Oreochromis niloticus: one gene and its partner. The protein of the gene in region 2 interacts with the protein of the main gene of each other region in a pairwise test. Links are inferred from orthologs where the notes say so. Each region holds a gene or a part of one and is shown on either strand. Other genes may lie near its edges.

Region 1 (7,243 bases), on a different chromosome or scaffold from region 2:
TCCCCGGGGAAAATTATAAACGTAAAATAATAAAATAAATATTCTTCTGTAGCAATAACAAAGTATAACATAAATTATTCTGTAGCAATTACACAAGAATATCCAGTAATGTCCCTGCCTACAATTAAACACATTCACTTACCATCTGCTGTGGCAAATGGCTGCAAGGTTTTGACCACAAACTAGTCACTGCTCGGTGACATGCGGGCCTGAAAAGAGACGCTACCGGTAGACTGCAGCGACAACTGCCAGCGAGCGCCAGCCAGACTCTGTCTGTCTGTCTCATCATGGTCACCTAAATGCACAATGGCAGGTTTTGTAATAAAGCAGATCGCGCTAACATAATATGCACTGTTAGTTGATTATTTACCTGCCGCATTAACGGGAGATGACGTGCAAACGTTACCGCTGCTGCTGCTGGGTTGAGATTCACGAGTCCGGAGCGGAATTAAAGACATTCATTTAAATTCATCGCGTGTTTTGTGAGCAAATGCTTTTGCATATTCGTAGTGTTTCCTCCCTTAAATGAAATATCTACTTTGCAAGTATTGCAAGTTGCCCTGTTGTCATCCATTCTCGTAAAGTATAAACAAACTTTTAAGCGTTTGAGCCGCTTAGGCGCCGTGTTTCCTGCCAGGTACGCTCCGACGCTCCGCAACGTGGTGACGTCATTCGGGGTGACTGGAATCGATAAGGGAATCGTTTGCAAAAATGGCAAACGATTCCAAGGAATTGAAACAGTGGGAACCGGTTCTCAACAAGAACCGGTTTTCGATACCCATCCCTAATGCTGATGCTGTACTGAAGAGGCAAACTGATATTTTGACAAACAAAAATAAAAAAATTTTTTAAAAGGGGGTGTGAAGCAAATGCTTGTTTGCAGCAACTCTTCACATATTTCTGTGGTGACCTGAGTAATAGCCTAATCTGGACTGGAGTTTCCCAGCAGCTCAAAATACATCGGTGTAGATGTTGTGGTGGGATAGTCAGCCGTTGAAACTCATTATCTGTGATGCTAAACATTACACATCCTATAAAACAGTCAGGTTTCCCCTCACGGGACTTTCTGACACACAGAAAGATAAACAGCAGTGTAATAAAGCAATCTGTAAACATTTCTATTAGTTTGGATTTTGTTTGCTCTAATATAATCCAAATGTCAATTACCAAATGGTTAAGAGAAAGGACTAAAATGGATAGATTTCTGCCAGAGCCAAGAAAAACTCTCAACAATGACCTCATTTAGGCCACGTACTGTGTAATACGATAACTAAGGAATCATATGACAAATTTTCCATGGTTACGTTACTTCTGACTAGGATGATTTCAGTTAAGCATTATAAACAAACTGAGACTGTCAATAAAGGGAAACTAACACCGCACATCTGATTACAAGTGCAAGCGCTTACTCCTTGTCTGGCTTTGTCTTCACTGTACTGTGTAGCTACTTCACTGAAACGAACTCCAGCCTTCAGTTTCTCCATTGCTTCCATGCATTTTCCATGTTTTTCACACAGGATATGCCGGACCTGCAGAAAAAAAACAAAAACAGATGATTCTGCTGGACTTGTCCTACTCTTGTCTGATATAGGATTCTAGCTGCTCGATAGCCCTGAAGCTTTTTTGTTTTTCATTTCACGATGTGTTGAATGTTTTGCAGTTCGCGGTAGTATGCAGTTTAGCATTCTCTTGCAAGCCTTTCCCTCGAAAACACATTGTCTAGATGGAAGCACACTTTGGTCTAAAAACCTGTATATATCTTGCAGCATTGATGGTGCCTTTCCAGATGTGCGAGCTCCCAAGGAGTGCACTGTTGTACCCTCAAACCATCAGAGAAGCTAGCGTTAGAGACAAGTGATGATATAACAAGCTGGATGGTCGCTCTTTGTCTTTAGTTCAGCATCCATGTTTTCCAAAAATTAAAAAAAAATATTCATCGCCTGAACCCAGAACAGTTTTCCACTTTCCCTTGGTCAATTTTAAATGAGCGAGGGGGTTTCTGGATCATGTTCACATGACTTCTTCTTTGCATGACAGAGCCAGTGATTTCTGGTAGAGTTCCTGAGACCATTCAGTCATTTTCATGACAGAATCATGCCTTTTTTTTAACGTTATGCCCCTTGAGGGCTCAAAGATCGCGGCCCTTGTGCACAGAGATTTCTCCACATTCTCTGAATCTTTTGATATTATCTATTGGTACTAAATTTTGATATTTAGTTAAGTTTATGAAGTGCTTTTTCACAGAATATTTTTTAACAGAAAACCTTTTTTAAACAAAAAAGTTTAACAACAGTCTCTCTGAATGTACCTAAATAAGTCGGGAATGATATACTGTGCAAATGATAATTATTAAAAAGACAAGAAAAGGCAACAATTGTTCAGACATTTCTGTTAAAGCAGAAAGGTTTGGATTATTCTATTATTAAAATAGCATCGTACGGGATGCATGACACTGCACGCGACATGGACTCGTTCATCTGTGCTCTCCTTTCAACTCCCCCAAAGTCACATTTTGTTGGGAAGGGAATGAAATCTGTCATTGTTGCAGTTTAGCTTTGCCTTCAATGTAACGTTACCTTGACAGCGGTCCCTCCCTTTGGGCCTTTTTCTTTCTTGTCGGTGTCTGCACTCCCTGAAGCAGCTCCTACATAGTGACAAGATAGGAGATGAACACACCACAGCACCCGTTAAACCCATTAAAACTGCACTGTAGTAGTAACCGTTGTGATAAAGGCGCTTCTGGGATCACATGGGAAAGTTATTAGCTGACTTTAATTATAGAATACAAATACAATTAGTAAGTTATAGGACACTAACCTTTACCACCCTTTCCCCCTTTTCCCTTTGGTGGCATTTCAGGCTAACGTGCAATTATAACTCAACAATAATCAATAAGAAATAACAGTTATAGATGAAACCCCTGCTATGTTGTGATTAGCATGCGCATAAACCTGCGCAGAGAGCCCAAACGCTTCTTCTTCTTTCGCCACTCGTTGGTAGATCAAAGATAATTGATACAATATACCGCCATCTACTGTACAGAACCACAAACGCGGTTCATACCTGTACACGCTAATGAGATGTTTCTTCCTTTTCTTATGTGACGGCACTCAATGTTATCTCCTTTGCTGCCAACATAAAGGCTAGGGTTAGGGTTTAATATTTTGATTTTCGACAATAAATTCATATTCTCGAATCACAGTTTAAAATAGTTTTAAAATTAAAAGGGTTTTTTTTTTTTTAAGTTTGTGTATGGCAGAGGTAATGAAATAGGCGCTAAATAAAGAAAACAGTGTACATACATTAGTGTGTCCATTTAGAAACCACACTAATGTTTGGACTCGCATGTGTAACTCTCACACGCCGCTGACCCACCCCCATACCCATTCTCACAGCGTCATGGGTCACTATGGAAACGGCAGTGAACACAAACGGCTCGTGACGAGCGGGCTGCAGTCTGGGTGTTCGCCTCTGTTTTTTGTTTCTATGACACAAATATGGAGAAGTACGAGATGGTCTTGCGGTTGGGCAGCGGAGGAGCGGCAGACGTGTTTCTCATGAGACACGTGGAACGGAAGTGCCTGTACGCGGTGAAGAGGATAAAGGCGGAGACCACGAAGAGGGCAAAAACGCAGAGGGCCATTCTCCAGGAAGCAGAAATTATCAAAAGGCTGGAGCATCCTCACATTGTGAAATGCAGCGAGGCCTTTGTGAACTCCGACGATGGGTTCGTTTACATTGTGATGAGCTACTGCGATGGAGGGACTTTGGATGACAGAGTAAAGGAGAGGAAACCAGGGGAGTTCTTCACAGAGCACACTGTGATGGGCTGGTTTGTCCAGGTCGCTATGGCTGTAAATTACATACACACAGCTAAAATACTTCACAGGGACATCAAACCCTCTAATGTGCTGCTGACAAAGCAAGGTGTGGTAAAGTTAGGGGATTTTGGCATATCCAGAATAATGACTAACACAGCCGATATGGCTTCCACATGTGTTGGGACACCCAGCTACCTAAGTCCCGAGCTTTGCCAGGACATCCCGTACAGCTGCAAGTCCGACATCTGGGCTCTTGGTTGTCTCCTGTATGAGCTCTGTGCTCTCAGGCCTGCTTTTGCAGCCACAAATCTCCTGAGTCTGTTCAATAAGATCACCAAAGGAGAGTACCACCCGGTGCCTGACTTGTTCTCAGATAGTATTTCCTCATTAATCCAGAGCATGCTCAACCTCAATCCGGACAACAGGCCCAGTGCTGCTTTTATACTTAGCAGTGCCTATGTGCGAGATCACCTGCAATCTATCAAAGACACAGAGACAGACTGCTGCACGCCTGTGGCTCACATTAATTTGGAAGTTCAAAAAGAAGACATCAACACAACACTTCAACCCTGTTTTGCCAGTCAGTCCTACTCTTGGGAAGAGAAAGAACAAAGTATGGAGGTCAGTTTCTCCTCTGCCGATGTAGAGGAGGAAGATGAACAGAACCAATGCCACTATCCTGAGGATTTTGATGATGATGGAAGCTTGTCTTCTCTGGAGGGACAAAGTAAACAGTCTGGGTTGGCAATGAGGAGCAATTCTGCTGAGTCCATTGGTAATGCATCCCTCCAATGTCCATAAGTATTCAGACATTGAGCATATGACATTTAAAAAACAACAACATTGAAACACCACAGTGGATTTTATATCCAGCAATCATGATGTGACCGACAGGCCAATTTTAGGTTTAAATCAGAGTTTAACAAAAAACATTAACTCTTTAGGAATTAGAAACATTTTTATAAACTCTTCCATTTTCAGATGCTTGAAAGTAACTGGAAAAATCACCGATGAGTACTTTAATAGCCCAGTGAGGCACCTTTGTGTTATTCTATGACAAATCAATCACGTAAAAGATTCATAAGCTGTCATTAGGTTTTTTTAAAAAACAAAACAAAATATGTCTATGAACAAAAATTTGGGAATTGCCAGATCAGTTATGTAGTACTGTCCTAACAAGAATGAATGTACTGGCCAGCTCAGCATCAGAAAAAGCCTGAGAGACCACAAAGAAAACTAAAGTGGATGATCACACAGGTCTTTTTGAGGTTGAGAAAAACTACTTCTGTCAATGGAAAATTGTACTTAGTAGTCAGTATAAGCTTTTAATGATATAAGTTTCCATATATGCTTAGAGGTGTATAATCGATTGTGTAGTGATAGGATGTGTGATCTTTAGTAGGCTTTGTGTGCATTTCCAGGGTGTTCTGGTTTTCACACCCACACTCTGGGAGAATGGGAGAGGTCGTACCTTCTTTTATTGTTTTATGATAGGATAAACGTATCTATGCCTGTTTTAGGCTAAGTGCATTTTGTTTAGATGAACTGCTGGACTTCCAGGCCAGCAGGTTTAGGGAAGTCATATATGGGGTCATGCTTTGACCCCACACACACACACATACACACACACACACACACACACACACACACACACACACACACACACACACACTCACCTAAACATCCACATTCCAATGTAAGGAACAAACACCCACTGATGTATAAATAAAGGCCAGGGCAGTTTCAGAGCACGTGTCACAGAGCCATCACTCTCACTGTGGGTGCTCTGTGCTGCCCTTGTATACAAGTAAAACTGTGTTTCTCCTCTCTGATTCTCAACTGAAGAAGTGTTTTAGAATAAATCTCCTGACAACTTCACAACATTTAATGAAGTTAAGAATACTCTTGAGAAGGCAGGTGTATCACTGCCAAAATGATGGCTTCATGGTTGGAAACACTGCGAGTGTAAAACAAGCTGAAAACCTCTGGTTACACTCAAGGACAGGAAGGCCAGATTAGATTTGTCAAAAAAACCATCTAAACGAGTCTGCACAATTCTGTAAAAGGAATCTGTGGATCAATTACGGAGAAGGAGAGAAAAAGCTCATGATCCAAAGCATACCGCATCATCTGTCAAGCACGGCGAAGGCAGCATTATGGCATCGACACATGTGGACGCCGGTGGAAACGGGTCTCAGTGGTTTATTGATGCTGTGACTGCTAATGGAAGTAGCAGGATGAACTGTGAGGTGTTCAAATCAAACCAAAGCAAAGTGCAAAAGCAACCCAAGAGTTCAGTCACCTGATTTCAACTCAGTAGAGCAGCTTTTCAGCTAATGAAGACAAAGCTGAATGCAGAAAAACCCACAAAAAGCAGGCCTGGCAGAGCATCTCATCATCTCAATGATGATATTCACAGGTTCTGGACTTCATGTACTCATTGGCTGTATTAAAAGTAATCCTTATATTCAAAGTTAGTTTGGGCCCTTGGAAATGGTAAAATTGTGGTTAAATTCCTTGACTTAAAGTTGAATCACTTCAGTCACATATTGTTAACTGTTCATTGAGTAACTTCTATCGAATCCTAAACTTTTTTTGTTAGATCTTATAGTGAACTGATGAGCCTAATGTAAGAACTATCTGGGGCTATGGTTATCGTCTGAACACTGTAAAAACACATTTGTAACATTTATGTAGAACTTTCTTCAACTGTTTCAGCTTCTTAAATCTGAGAATTTCTGGTGGCACTTTAGGGATCACTAGTGAGTGTGTAGTTTCATGACAGCAGCTTAGTAAAGTTGGAATAACCCAGAAATTACCAAACAATGCAGTGATTATTGTTTAAGGCCAGAAAAATGTGAAATTCTATTTTTAGTTATTTAGTTAGTATTACAGATCTTTTACAGCAGCAGCATCAAAGTGCAACATATCTACCCTTATCTGTTCCAACTTAATAATGTAAGGGGTGGTACAGTGGTTAGCAGTGTGGCCACGCACCAAAAAGGTCCTTGTGACAGCTGGGATAAGAAAAATATGGATGGATAAATAATGTAGACAGTTTGGGGGAAAATGAAAACACTACAATGGGTTCTTTTTTCAGCTACTTACCAACATGTGTTAAATAGATGATTCCTCTGCTAAAGGGATAGATGAACAGAGTGATCAACTGATAAACTGAGGGAAAACCTGCTTTTCCAGTGGGACCTTCTGTTGATCTGTGATGTGTGAAAACAAAACAATCCACTACTAGTGATCAAAACAATGTGTGAAAAATGTTAACAGCTCTCCTATATCAGGTCTGTTGAGAATAAACCAACTTACAATGCCATTATTAAAACCAAACGTGTGTCATCCTTTTAATCTTGTTTTTTTTTCCAGAGATCCCTGACACTTCAGAACAAGTTGACTATCCAGATGACTTC
Region 2 (7,554 bases):
GACAAGCACGTTGTGTTAAAAAAAAAAAACAAAACACACACACAGGAAAAGACTTCTGTCGCCACCTAGTGGTGATTATACACACTGTCATCAACTGAGGAAATTGCACTGGACAAACATACTGTGACTTAGTGGCCTCTTGGTGAACTGTCCTGTTTTCATCATGCTCTTAATAATGTTCACAATTACATTTTCATAACCACAACTTTGTTTTCATAATTGCTTACTGATAATGATTTCTTACCTTCAAAGAAAGCTTTATTGCTATAATAATTCTTCTGCAATCTCAATTCTAATAAGCTACTGACATACAAAAAACTGCACTCTCCTAAACTAGAAAAATAGGCTTACCATTTTTAGTGAGTGGATACCTGAGGATGGATTTAGCAGTTTCCTAAAAATAAGAACAGAGTTACTTCAAAATGAATTTTTATACTGTTAATGTTGTTTAATCTGTAGAAACAATAAAACCACCTGTTTGGGAGTTGAGCTCCTCTGTTCTCTAAAATCTTCAGAAACTTTCTCTTTGAAACCTGAAACAGCAGATGGTTTGGATTTATCAGAAGTTAAAACAAAACAAATAAACATGAATAAGTCAGGTTTGATTTTGATTTGAGTTTAACTTTTTGGAGTGTGACATCTTACCATCGGCCTCGTTGTGAAATGAGTCAGAGACAGCTTCACTTTGCTCTCCATCATTTGTGGCAACAAAGTTCAGCTCAATATCACGAGTGTCGGTCAGGACAGAAAGGCTCTTGGTTAAGCGGTCAGTTAAAGCTGGTCTGCGATCACTGCTTCTGAAAAACCACAAATGACGCAGCAAATGGTACCGCTCGAGCAACTGAGGTTGAGAATACCCATTTCACTGCATTTTCATGTGCTCCACCAGCCAGAAGATGCAACTCACTGTATTTATGTGTGTTGACATGGTCAAGGCAACTAGCTGAAGTTCAAGTGGAGGATCAGTGATCTGCATGACTTTGAAGGTGGCAAGGTTGGTGCCAGAAAGCTGGTCTGAGTATTTTTTAAATTGTTGTTCTACAACCATCTCTAAAAACTGATGCCAAAGTTTGCACAGACTCACTGGACGATAGAAGATTTTAATAACGTCGCTGGTCTGATGAGTCTCAATTTCTGCTCTGACATTTAGAAGGAAAGTCAGAATTTGGCACAAAGAACATGAAAGCGTGTTGCCCTGCCTTGTATTAATGGCTCATGCTGGTGATGGTGTAATAGTGTGGGGAAAATTTTCATCTCAATCTGGTCATGACAGTGACTTCACTGTATTGAAATGGCCTCCACAACCACCAGATCTCAATCCAATAGAACATATGTGGGATGCAGTGGAAATGAAGAGTCACATCATGGATGTGGAGCCGACAAATCTGCAGCAGCTGTGTGATGTTATCGTGTAATATTTCCCAAAATCTCTGAAGAATGTTTCCAGCACCTCGATTAATCTGTGCCATGAAGAATTAAGGCAGTTTTGAAGGCAAAAGGGGTCCAAATCAATACTGGTAAGGTGTAACTAATAAAGTGTCCATGAGTGTATAAGAGAAAAATAGTATTTTCAAAAATATATTACATATAAATCTGGTACCAGATCTTTATTTGACACTTTCATCAAACAGAATGAGCTGAAGCTCATTTACATTAAGGATTTTGTGTTCAGCATACCTTCGATCATCAATCAGATTCAAAGAGGAGCTCATCTGCTGAGGAAGAAGTTCAGAAGAGAACTGCATCAAGGCAGATTTACGCTCAGCATCTCTGACTGAACAGCTATCTGTAAATCAACGAGGAGAACTTATTATTTTAAAACCTGACATGAGATGAGCAAATTCTGGGCGACAAAACAACATCTTACCTAGCTTGCGCAGGCTGGGCATGGCATGCACCAAATAAAGGCGGTACTGTGGATTATTTTTGGCCAGAGGGTTGAGCCTGAGGTCCAACTCTTTTAACGATGGCAGCTCAAACAGTACTTTCACTTCTTCAAGAGAAGGTATGCAGTTATAGTAGAGGATCAGCCTCTGTAGCATTTTTAAATGTTGCACACCCTGAGAACAAACCAATGGAACAGCTAAGATACAGACTCTGCAAATATTAAAAACTAAAATTATTAGTCATGCAATATATTATATCACTTAATGTACAAAATATATGGTATTGGCCGATATCAGCATAAGAACATGCAGTTTTAGTGTTCAGGGTAATCAGTGGGTAATTTACACACTAGCCATAACCACAACCCCCCCTGAAACCCTATGCTGTAGCTTCCCTAGAAATGTAACTACATGTCAGGTCAACACAGACTGTATCTATTGTGATTAGCCTGTTCAATACCATTGACAACTCCCCCTCTACAGTATCATTATGAGGACTCACAAATGTCTTCAAATTCCTAGAGGGAGATTGCTCAAACTATCAAATAGTTTATACACCACTACTGCACTTAATCATTTATAATTATTAAACTCTGACTCTTTCTTCAGTAGTATAAATGGTGAATTCTATTTAAAAAAAAAATCTAAAACTAACCTCAACTGAAACGAGTGCATTACAGGAGAGATCCAGAGATTTCAGACGGATAAAGTTATTCAGACCATTTCCCAGGTGTCTGATCTTCTCCTCATATGTCCCCGGAAGGCTCAATGTCCGCACGTCGCCTATTTAAACACAATTAAAAAAGTAATAACTTTAAGATGTTGTGGTGATGTGGTCTGGAGCAGGGAGCATTTATTGTTACGCTAGCTCTCGTTAGCTTATCTACTGATGCTCTGGCCTGGCAGAGTATCTAGCCACAGTAGTTTTCAACAGCAAATGTCTATTGTCCCTACCTCACCCTTAAAGTTAGCTGCTGATTACTCCTACATAGTGTATATATTAGCTTGGATGTGAAGTTACCGAGACGCGGGTGTTTTAGCCTTAATCTTTCACGTATCCACTGCTCTGTTAGTATTGTCAAACACTTCGCCGCCATACTTTTCGAAGTTCTGCTGCCTTCAGGGCCTGAAAAATAAATACCGTCCTTCCTGCTTCACTTTTGTTACTGGAGCTTTTATACAAACCGTGAAGTATGTTCATTAAGGTCCCACTATTTCTAAAGTTGTTAGACTTCAGTTTATTGAGAGTTTGAGTGTACATATTCAAATATAACTTTGAAAATGCAGGTTAATATTTTTTAGTTCGACCAAAGATATTCAGCTAATTAATGAAGGCTTTTAGATTTTTTGAAAACAAAATTGCATTGTTTCAGATACCTGTATAAGACACGGGCTCAAAAAAGATGAGAAATAAGCAAGTAATCCGTAAAGCATTTCAAACCTGATGGTCATTTTGGTTAGCATAGTTGCAGGGTTTACGAATGGCCTTGAATGCACCATTTTGCGCCTGCGCACCGCCAAATCCTTGCTTGTCACGTGTCAAAACAAACGGTCGCTGTTCCTGCTACAATTGTGGTTCCTATCTAAAGTTTGGTGCTGATTGTTTTGTCTGTTTGTCAGTGAAATTTTTGAAATTTTGACACCGTCTCCAGTTTTAATAGCTACCTAAAATCACGCTGACTAACACTTTGTAATTTTCCTGGTGTTCTCGAGCCGTGTCTATCAGGATCAATGGCGTCCTATCTAACAGAGTGGGTCACGTCATGTTTGAACATAATTTTGACAGCCACTGCACTCTACTACTCTTACAAACTATTTAAGGTGGGTATCACTCAATGTAGTATCGGTGTGTGTACATTTATTTATTTATTTGTAGTAAATAAGTAGTTTCTGCTTTTATTAAATGATAGTAAACTTAATAGCCTTGGGTTTGGCCCTCTTTCCTCAGCTATTTCCCTTTATTTTAGTTTGTTTTTGTTTGGTTTTTTTGCATCTTACTTTTAGCAGTAAACCGTAAATCTTTCACTTGACATTTGTGAATCTATCAATCCAGCCAGTATCAAACTTGGTCATTCTCTCTCTACAGGTCCACAGAGCACCTTCAGTAGGCTTCTTTCTGCTTGGGATCTCTGCAGCAATTTCCATCTTGCATCCCTCCAGCCCCTACCTCACCTCCCTGCAGAGAGAAGCAGAATGGGCTGCTGAGGTGCTGGCTCCAGTGTTGGTCTCCTTTGATTTCCTTTGGCTCAGTCAGGACCGTAACACAGCACAGATTCTCCTCTGTGGTTCTTGCCTGCTGCTCGGACTCTCTGACTGGCTCTCAGCAGATACTCTCACAATTATGACTCGCTGTCTGGGCCTATCATCCCTCTCCTGCTGCCTGACGGTGTGTTTGTTTGCTGGTAATGCTTCAGGGGCCTTTGGGAGCATGGCCCTCAGCCTCCCCTTACTGCTGACTCATAGGTTTGGAACAAAAACTTTTGCTCCTCTGCTTTTTCCAGTTGCTACAGAAGGACTGATGAAGTGTCTTTTAAAGGGGTCACTGTTGATAGGCTGTTGGGTGTCAACTCTTGCTCTTGGCAAGTTTCTGTTGGATGTGACTGACCAAGCTGTCTATTTAAGTTCATAGAAATCTCCTAAATGTAGGTATTTTTGACGTTGACAGATGTGACTGACAAACTAGAACAATGCAGAAATCTATTGTGCCTATTAATGTGTCAATATAATAAATAATAGCTCCAGTAATAGTTTGTTCAATCTTCTCTAGGATTTGACGTTTATCTTTTTCCTGCATCATCATGCAGCATTTTTATGGCTCATAATGAGCTTTTGGGGAGTAAACGAAACATGGCAGTAAGCATGTATGCAGTAAAGACAGTGAGTCTGTGTTACTTTATTTAAGTGAAATCTATGCACACTGTCTTTTGATTACAAAAATACTTGTGTAAATTAATACCCAGTTAATATAACTGGTTAAAAAAAAATCCCATTTGAAGGTATGGGGGTTTGCTGTGGACTGGTCTCATATCTCTACCTTTTGCCTCCTTGTCTCCTCTGACCTTTGTCTACCTGCTCTGTAAGACACACACTGTTTCTGTGTGTGTGATGATGTCTTATCCTCACCTCACTAGGAAAGGAATCAAGGATGTAAGAAATAAGTTTGCGGGTGGGGGTGGGGGGTTGTTGAGTGTGATACCAAAAAGTTACACATGATTTATGAATTTGAAACATATCTTTTGAAAAACCCAAGAAACCTAAGGTGCCAGCTTAGGGTGTGGGAAGCTGAAACTTTTAATGGGATTTAAAAATGTGATTTTAACTGATTAATGGGGGCTCATAGAAAGGCATCAAGGTTTATGGTTCATCATCTTAGAGATCACATGTACTAAAGCATAGCATAGTTTTATACAGGAAATATTTATGCAAGAAATAAAATGTATCCTCCTAAATACATGTTGAGTTACATGTTACAGTTATTGTTATGGCCTTTTAGAAAAATGTCCAAACATTTAAGAAATTGATTTAATTCTGGATGAAATTAAAGATGGGAAAATTGTCCAGCATGAAAGTACTACAGTATGAATACTACAATAGTCATTTTTGTAATGCTTGTTTTTGCTTGCCTCTGCATTTCCTGGAACATACAGCCAAACCAAGAGAACATGACTGAAGATACCCTTTTTTTTTTTTAGATGTGTTGTGTTTGACTATTCTGTAGATGTCATTTGTATATTTGAACTTCCTGTATGAATTTCCTTTTTAGCATGGTTCTTCCATCTTCCGGCTCTTCTAACAGTTTTAATGTTGTGGTTTCCAGCTGCCTCAGAGTCTGGGTGATATTTGTTCTGCAGACTCAGCACGATGTCTGTTTAAGAAAAAAAAAAAATCTGCAGTGGTCGAAGGTTTTGGCCCAGCTCTTACCTCATAACGACTGTTTGATTCTTATCAGTTCATTTAAACAACGAAAAAAAACTTTCTTAGTTTGTATCAGCTGTCTTGGTACTTGAAACAACCTGGCCTGTTTAAACCACCCTTGTTTCACTGTGTCCCATGTCATTTACATTGACCTTGTGAGATATTGATATTCTTTACAGTGATTTGTAGTGGACGCTGCAGAGGCTCCCTAAAGATTTCAGGGGTGTGAGCAGCTTCCTCAGCAGTTTTTTTTTTTCTTTTTGCAGTATATGTGCAAGCATCTGTGCCTTTCTCTGGGACTGCCTATGTCAGTCTTCAGGGAAAAGATGAACACTGATGCTTTTTACCATTTTTCTGGGAAGTCCAAAATGTTATGGTAATTGTTGCCTTTTAAAGTGTTAGTTTTCTATTTTTTGACCATTTAGAAGTGTGACATTTTGTATTTAACTTGTTAAATAAATAAACATGTAAAAAAACTAGTCATAGTTATGTAACCTGACAGCTTCTTACTGTTGTGCCATCTATCATTGTTAAACCACTTCTTTAGTCCTTGAAACCATTCCGATGTTTTCAGATGCATGAAGCTGCAGCTTCTGATTTTTCCGAGCGCCTTTTATGGTCACTGTCACCCCTGACTGCGACCACTGGCATCAGACCTACAACCTCAATCTGTCTCCATGACTGCCTGTATCTGTCACTTCACCACTGCAGCGCAGCGGGAAACTGCACTGAGCATGCTCGCTGCAGATGCAGCCTGTAGCTGGAGCAAAGTGGAGAAAAGGGGAGGAGAGAGGAGAGGACGGTTGGGAAGGAGGCACAGAGGAGCTGCATGCAGCTGTGAGATGCTGTTGCAGCTCTGAGAACAAGAGCTGCACGGGAAGAGTCATCACTGGGAATACAGATGGAAGCTGAAAGTGGAATACGAACGACTGGAATGTTGGAGAGTCGACACCAAAGAGGAGAATTCATTTGATAAGGTAAAGAAGTCGAAGCGTTTTATTGTGATTGAACAGAGTGATTGTCACAATAGAAACATGTTTCACCTCTGTAGAAGTCATTGTGTATTTGCACTAGATTATGTTATTATGTAACCTTTAACAATCATTGATATTAAATGTTTTGTTAGTATAAGAGGTCAATAATAAAATTCTGCTTTTCTCCACCTTTATAAAGATGCGTGCTATTAATGAGCTCGTTTGTCATCTATAGAGACTCTTGGGCAGCGTGGAGATGTATGCCTTTTACTCCCTTTTGGTCTACATCTTCTACACTGTCTTTAAGAAGGAGGAGGAGGAAGCCTTGGAAGGGGCGTGTGGAGATTCCCCAGATGTACGTCTAGCCATATCATGTCCAGCCTCGGGGGTTCTCTATTGAAATAAATAAATGGGGGGAACATGCAGGCCATAAGCTCACTAACAAAGGATGTATACAATGCTGCTATATGCATGTCTATTTTACTGTGTTACTGACTCTTATATATGATGCTGTGCTCAGGAGCCAGGACCTGTTTCCATGGAAACAGGGAGCAGGAGGAGAGATGGCCACACCCCCAAAGTGGGAAAAAAAGCTTGTGCTCGCTTTAGTGAATCAAGTGGGTGCTCAAATAGTCTTTCGGGGCATTTTTAACCATAAAATGAAAGTATTTAGGAATAATACTTTTATTTTTGTGTACAAGAGATCAATAATTAGATACATTCCTTGACTCTATTGCTTGTGTGATGCGATGTCATTCAGGCAGCAGCAGTGACACAGA

The links.
Region 1: the proteins of cep72 (region 2) and pin4 interact in binary tests that used the Homo sapiens proteins (3 or more experiments, as listed by UniProt). The two-hybrid records come from large-scale screens. The link is inferred for Oreochromis niloticus from reciprocal best matches to the Homo sapiens genes CEP72 and PIN4.

What each region holds. Positions count from the first base shown.
Region 1 is NC_031966.2:29,508,942-29,516,184, forward strand, and holds the start of pin4 (peptidyl-prolyl cis-trans isomerase NIMA-interacting 4), read right to left. Parts: upstream 3,004-7,243; 5' UTR 2,855-3,003; coding exon 2,818-2,854; intron 2,645-2,817; coding exon 2,577-2,644; intron 1,530-2,576; coding exon 1,410-1,529; intron 1-1,409. Other genes in the region: nek12 (NIMA-related kinase 12), read left to right, coding at 3,498-4,596, 7,200-7,243.
Region 2 is NC_031976.2:18,928,768-18,936,321, forward strand, and holds the start of cep72 (centrosomal protein of 72 kDa), read right to left. Parts: upstream 3,024-7,554; 5' UTR 2,984-3,023; coding exon 2,908-2,983; exon of another isoform or gene 2,841-2,907; intron 2,670-2,840; coding exon 2,542-2,669; intron 2,061-2,541; coding exon 1,868-2,060; intron 1,787-1,867; coding exon 1,678-1,786; intron 798-1,677; coding exon 646-797; intron 534-645; coding exon 475-533; intron 395-474; coding exon 352-394; intron 1-351. Other genes in the region: si:ch211-257p13.3 (kinesin-like protein KIFC3), read left to right, coding at 7,032-7,130, 7,296-7,392, 7,536-7,554. UniProt on the Homo sapiens protein: Involved in the recruitment of key centrosomal proteins to the centrosome.